2 linked regions of the Drosophila melanogaster genome follow. Each later gene encodes a partner of the first gene's protein in a complex. Each region holds a gene or a part of one and is shown in the gene's direction. Other genes may lie near its edges.

Region 1 (3,085 bases):
ATGCTCCCATTTGTGGCCAAAGCCAAAGCCATCTGCTGCTGCTGTTTAACTGCCACGTTGTCAATTACCATTCGCCCTGCTGTCTTCGCTTGATTGAGATTTGCGGCAGCTGGCGACACCGGTGTCGGTGGCAGCGGCAAGGTCTCCAAATCCACATCTTGACCAGAATTGGGATCATCCTCGCTGTCGCCGTCGTGGCCATATGAGATCTTTACCTCAGTGGCCAGTTTTATGCACCGCCGTTGGACTTTTGGCTTTGAAGTTCTCGGCTTAGGTGGCGGCAATTCCGGAGCACCCACTGTACGTTTCCGGGAGCGGCTACGATCCAGGGAATGAGCCTGTCTCTTGTATCTTGGCCTATATGGAGTGATTTGAGTGGGCAGAGTTGGTGTGGCGGACCTTTTGTGGGCCAATTGCTCGTAGTACTCACATCGCGGAGCCACCAAACCCAAATCCACATCGGCTGCCTTGGTCTCTGGAGCGGAGAATCCCTTGGATATGGGAGTTTGATGGAAAACTTCCGCCAGGTCAGGTTCTTTGGTGTGCTTTTGGAGCGTTTTTGATCTCTCTTTGGAGCCACCATCGCGTCGTCGCTGCTCTCTCACTTCATTGGCAGTGGGTTCGATAACCAGGGTGGGACTCTGGAACTTCTCCCTCAGAGCCTCAATACTGTGCGATGGGCTGCAGGAGATCTGATGGCTCTGTTCGGGATTGATAGTTGGTTGATCCTGCTCAGCTGGAGGCCAGCTGTGATCCCGTTTGAGCAGATGCCTCTTGGTGGCCAGACGGTTGATTTTCAGCACCGTGTCCCGATCGATAGTGATGTCCTGCTGATGACTGAGATAGTCTGTTTTGATCTGGTTCAGAAGCTGCTGGTGCAGCGTGTGATGCAGTGCATCCACCTCGCCTCGTTGACGCGGGCGACTCTGCCTTTCAGTGGGGTAAAAATCTTTGTGGGGGAAGTCCCCTGAATTTATTTAAATTTATCTGTAAAAAACACTAATATTGGACGAGCACTGGGACTGGAGTTTGCTGTTTTGTTGTATGTTTCTACACTGTTTCTTTTTGTCTAGGCAACATAAAATAAACGCGCATAGACAAATATCCAAAAAAGAGAGGTATATCTTACCACATTTGGCTTGTTGTTCTTCCTCTTCGACGGCGCGCAGAACGGCCGAGTTGGCCAAGTTCAGGGGCTTCGTTATTTGATCGTCGACTTCAATCCTAAAAATAACGTAAAAATACAATACAATTAGTAAGAATCAATGCACATCGTATATTGTATGAGGTAAAATTTTAAATTTCGCGGTATATACTGCTTGTGTGTTTGGCGCACTGCTTCGACTGCTTGCAAGCAGTTAGCGCCAAATTTAAATTTATTTTTAAATATGCTCTCCTCGCAGGCATGTATTCGATTGTCATGCGTTCTTTTGGTATATGTTATAGAATTATACATGTGAACAGGCAAAAATGTAATATACGACTTTACTTTCTTAGATATACAATAAGTACATTACTTAAATATTTCATGAAATACAAACTTATGATCGTATGCACTATTTGCACGATAAGCCAATTAAACATATTGAAAATGAAAGCCCTTCTAACTAAAGACCATATATATCGTTATACATTTTGATTTCAGCTATTATATATAGATTCCGCCACCCCCTTGGTGCATCCGATTAAGCGAAAGTTACGCTAATCCATGGGCATAAATTAATGATAGCACCCTGCGATGTCCTGACATTGAAAATTAGCAAGTACGCTCCTGCCCACGCTGACCCCAAAAGACTAATCCAATCTGACAGGTGAAAGTGCGCCGGCGGATATAAAAATGGCTGACAGCGGCGGAAACTGCACCACATCCTATCCAGCAGCAGTTCCAGCAAGGCAATGATGTTCCGCTCCGTGATCCCAGTTCTCCTGTTCCTGATCCCGCTCCTGCTATCCGCCCAGGCCGCAAACTCGCTGCGGGCTTGTGGCCCCGCCTTGATGGACATGCTGAGGGTTGCCTGTCCCAATGGATTCAATTCAATGTTCGCCAAACGAGGCACCTGTGAGTATCGGCTGCGTTTTTTTGGGGTTTGGGGTTTCCAAACGGCACGAACTCACTTATTTTACTTGCAGTGGGCCTATTCGATTATGAGGACCACTTGGCGGATTTGGATAGCTCCGAATCTCACCACATGAACTCACTGTCGAGCATTCGGCGCGATTTTCGCGGCGTTGTCGACTCCTGTTGCCGCAAATCGTGTTCCTTTTCCACGTTGAGGGCATACTGCGACTCCTAAAAATGCTGCGATACCTGGTCCATCAGTTTACATACATACATATATGAGACATGTTACGTAAAAGTATTAAGTATAAACTATATGCACGGCTTTGAAACTTGAAACTACAATAAATAAGCGCAATTCGAAACATCGCTTTTTAATTTCTTCAAACATTAAATATTATAAATATTTCGATAATAATTTTAGCCTTTAAAAGTGAACAGATACACTAAATGGTTAGCAAAAGAACAATATGAACAATTTTAAACACACTTTGATATATCCAAATTCTATTATAACAATGTTTATTTTTTTCCATACGAAAATATGCTCCTTTGAGCGGAAGGAAAATCAAATTTTGATTTAAATCGCAGCAAGTTGGGTGGAAATTTTGCACACAAACAAAACTATGCCTTTCGCTTGCCTGGCGATTTTCTTTAAGCTGGCAAAAAGAGTTTTCAACTTTAATTATAATTTGCTTGAAATGTTTTGCTTTCAACGCATCATCTTAATCTGGGACGAAATGTTTTGCCTCAACAAAACGAGATAACAAACAGAAATATTTAAGCTAAGAAAATGTGCCTGCTGAGATAAGACCTTAAAGAATTTATGGACGACAAAGTCCAGAGATAATCGCCAAGCTTTAAGCTTTTTCGGCAATTTAAGACGAACGTCAGCCATTCCTCATTAGATCCGACATTGACCTTTTAGCTGGGAACATTTGGCAAAAAATCACTCACATCTGTCGGCCTCAACTTTAATTAGTTGATTAATTTGAAGGAAGTGTAAACATTGTGACAACCTCATTC
Region 2 (3,600 bases), 5.6 Mb from region 1:
CTTTAAGTTCTGATTCCCATGGGTGGTTATTAATTGGGAGATTGGTTATGGATTACAAAATTAATTCGTTCGAATGAATTCGAAACCATGGAGTTTTAATTAATGGTTTTGACAACTACAGTGCTAATTCAGTAAGCTAAACGAATAATATACGGTTGATACTTTGCACTTCGTCGAAATGATTCATGAATATTAACAGAGTAGTGTGAAGCACCTTTATATGTAGGGTTAATTAATTTTACTTACATGTGATAGAAAGTCATAGGATCTCGAACACTGTTGTATGTTCTCAACAACTTGCATAAGATGACAATGTTAATTGTCAAGATCGAAATGAAATGGTATATGGGCTGGAAAGTCATTGAGCTATCCTTGTGAGACACCTCAGTTTCCAAACCACCAACTCTGGACTGCGGACGCAATTAGGCGGTGGAAAGACAGATCCCGAGGCGGATAATCGAACCCCCCGTCCGGTTATATCTGTTTTGTTCCGCACCTTCCCGGTGCGGCGGTCGCATAAAGAATTACGATCCGAGAACGAGCAGAGAGAGAGCGGCGAGTGAGTGAGAGTGTGTGTGTGTGTGTCTGTTGTCTGTGTGTGTGTGTGAGTGAGCCGGCGTCGCATATAAATGGAACAGCGCTGCGGCCACCAATTCAGTTCTGTTACAGTTTCCAGCTGTTGAACACGACTTTTGAGAGCCGCCGAAGCCAACTGATCCGAAGTTAACTAAGCCGATCCGCGATCCTCGCTTTTCAATTCGCCGTGAACCGCATTCGCAGCAGCAATCCCCCCCAAAAACCAAAAACCAACACACCTTGACTCGAGTGTAATGTCGATGAACCGTGCGTATTCAAACGAGTGCCGCGCCAACCAGACAACCATCAAGAAGTACCAGACCAAGTCCACGTCCACATCGAAGGAGCACTGATACCGCCACGAGGATCGAATGTGCCAAAGTAGTCAGCTAGATATTCGCTACGCCGCCTGAGATTAACACGCTTCCGCTACCCAATTACTCGATCCTTATCCCGATCCTGAAGCGCCACTCCCGAGCACAGCACCCAGACGTTTCAATACGATCCATCCTCGTCGCCCAAGACAGACCGGCAAGCAGCCAAGATTCCACCAACACTGAGCTGCACGACCTCCAAGACGGCATCCAGCGCCGGACCTATGTCAGTGCTAAGCCAGCTGCTGCTCAACTTCAACCAGAAAGCCCAGACCAGGAGCCATCACAACATAGAGCTGATAAATTCGTTCATAACATAACGATAAGCCGACCTGCTTCTGCTTTACCTGATCTATCATCGTCCAACGTTGGGGAGAAATTTGCAAACATTTTTTACCGGAAGAGAAAAAAGAAATCAAATCAAAGGGTGAGTAATGTGCGTTAACAATAGATAGGTGATTGCCGCCGAACGCAGTTTCGTGTTCCGTTTTTCGTTTGTTTTTTTTTTTTCAAAATTCGAATTCGTAGAAATGCCCAAAGATACAAAAATCACCGTCGAAGGGCAAAGACCGTCTGATGCAACATTCGCCAGCGATTGGCGAATGACTTTTTGTGGGGCTACTACTAATTCATACATACAAGCGTATGTACATACATAATACCCTCGAAACTATTTGAATAATTAATCGGTCACGCAGTTTGTCCAGTCTAGACTATGGGGACACATTGGCCCTTGATCTGCGGCTGAAGCGTGGGTGAGTGTGTGAATCCGAATCGGGCTGTAGAATTCGAATTTAAATTGACGTCACACTCCGCGAGTCATTCCGTTTTCCGTTTTCGATTTCTGCCTCTGATTCGGCCCACGCAAGAATCTTATATCATTTTCTTTTGTCAATTCTTGTTGTCTGGTGACGTGTCATTGTGAAATACATTCATCTACGTTTGGACCGAGCACATCTCTTAGGGGCCGGAAAAGGATTCCGAATCTAAATTCCGGACTCCGAGAGCCATTAGCACATTTCGCAAGTGTTAGTAATGTTCTAGAGCCCGCCGACTGAAGGCCTTGCGTTCTTATCGGGGAAATAGACTCGGAGACCTCCCCTGATTAATGGAGGCGGTGATGAGTGGGGGAAGTGGGGTGGTGGGGTGGTGGGGGGATGCATGACTGGCTGAAAAGTCGGGCTAATCGCATCACGTTGCTCTGGGGTTTAATAACCTATATTAGAGTCGTACGAGTGCCGCTGTTGAACTTTGAACTCACTTCCGATTTCCACTCTCTCTATCGATCTTGCAGAAAATGAATTTACATGTGTGCGCCTTAGCGCTGCTGCTGTTCGGCAGCATCGCCACTGTCCGCGGAAGAGCCGTGGACCTGGTAGACGATAGCAACGACGTGGATAACTCCATCGAGGCGGAGGAGGAGAAGCCACGCAACCGAGCCTTCGAAGCCGACTGGCTCAAGTTCACCAAGACGCCGCCGACGAAGCTGCAGCAGGCCGATGGAGCCACCATCGAGATCGTTTGCGAGATGATGGGCTCCCAAGTGCCCAGCATCCAGTGGGTGGTGGGTCACCTGCCCCGCTCGGAGCTCGATGATCTGGACTCCAACCAGGTTGCCGAAGAGGCGCCCAGTGCCATTGTGCGCGTCCGATCGTCGCATATCATCGACCACGTGCTGAGCGAGGCCCGCACCTACACGTGTGTGGGACGCACTGGCTCCAAGACCATCTATGCCAGCACTGTGGTGCATCCTCCTCGCTCCTCTCGTCTGACGCCGGAGAAGACCTACCCGGGTGCCCAGAAACCGCGAATCATCTACACCGAGAAGACGCATCTGGACCTCATGGGCTCCAACATTCAGCTGCCCTGCCGCGTGCACGCCCGTCCCCGCGCCGAGATCACCTGGTTGAATAACGAGAACAAGGAGATCGTCCAAGGACATCGCCACAGGGTGCTGGCCAACGGCGATCTTCTGATCTCCGAGATCAAGTGGGAGGATATGGGCAACTACAAGTGCATAGCCCGCAACGTCGTCGGAAAGGATACCGCCGATACCTTCGTGTATCCCGTACTTGTAAGTATTCCCCTACCCGCCGGGTTATACCAACTCATCCTAAGTAATCCCTACGTATTTTTCTTGTCCTTGCAGAATGAGGAAGACTAAAGATCCTACCACCAAATAAAAAACAAAAGGCTATTGGATTGACGACGGAAATTCATCTAGTTAGTTAGATAGATCAAATGCCTTCGAAGATGCGTGAAAAGAAATGAAATATGCTTAGAAAAAATACAAAAAAAAAAAAATCAAAAAAAAATATGATGGATCAAAAGGTCATACGATTTACAATTATGTACAATTTAGATTAAGCACAATCTAGCTCGTAGTCCAGGTAATTAACCGTATCTAATGCCGGCTTAGACACTAATTTTCCCACTTATTATCCTCGAATATCAGTCACATTTAGAGCATTCGAATTATAGCACCTACTTTATGGTTTTCTTCAATTATAGCTTTAGTTATCGGCTTGTAATCACGCTTCTTTGGTTCTTTGTAAGTAGCAATGATTGTTCCTAGCGATTCAGGCAGCACTAGTTAACGTATTTAAACTAATTGGCCGTTTACTTAAGGGCACTGCAGCCCAAGAAGCAC

The links. Proteins that work in one complex are often made in the same cells at the same time.
Region 2: the proteins of Ilp5 (region 1) and ImpL2 are in contact, whole or in part, in a crystal structure (PDB 6FEY), measured with the Drosophila melanogaster proteins. Residues at the interface, in NP_996037.2 of Drosophila melanogaster: Cys92 (codon at 2,241), Cys93 (codon at 2,244), Ser96 (codon at 2,253), Cys97 (codon at 2,256), Ser98 (codon at 2,259), Phe99 (codon at 2,262); in NP_728961.2 of Drosophila melanogaster: Ser116 (codon at 2,581), Ile118 (codon at 2,587), Leu186 (codon at 2,791), Trp236 (codon at 2,941), Tyr260 (codon at 3,013), Val262 (codon at 3,019), Leu263 (codon at 3,022).

The regions. Positions count from the first base shown.
Region 1 is NT_037436.4:9,822,685-9,825,769, reverse strand, and holds Ilp5 (Insulin-like peptide 5), read left to right. Parts: upstream 1-1,872; 5' UTR 1,873-1,896; coding exon 1,897-2,059; intron 2,060-2,130; coding exon 2,131-2,294; 3' UTR 2,295-2,421; downstream 2,422-3,085. Other genes in the region: CG43897 (uncharacterized protein), read right to left, coding at 1-967, 1,130-1,224.
Region 2 is NT_037436.4:4,224,351-4,227,950, reverse strand, and holds ImpL2 (Ecdysone-inducible gene L2), read left to right. Parts: upstream 1-2,000; 5' UTR 2,001-2,058; coding exon 2,059-2,067; intron 2,068-2,244; coding exon 2,245-3,024; intron 3,025-3,099; coding exon 3,100-3,114; 3' UTR 3,115-3,241; downstream 3,242-3,600. Other genes in the region: CG46460 (uncharacterized protein), read left to right, coding at 1,175-1,270. UniProt on the Drosophila melanogaster protein: Essential developmental role during embryogenesis, in particular the normal development of the nervous system. May be involved in some aspect of cell adhesion.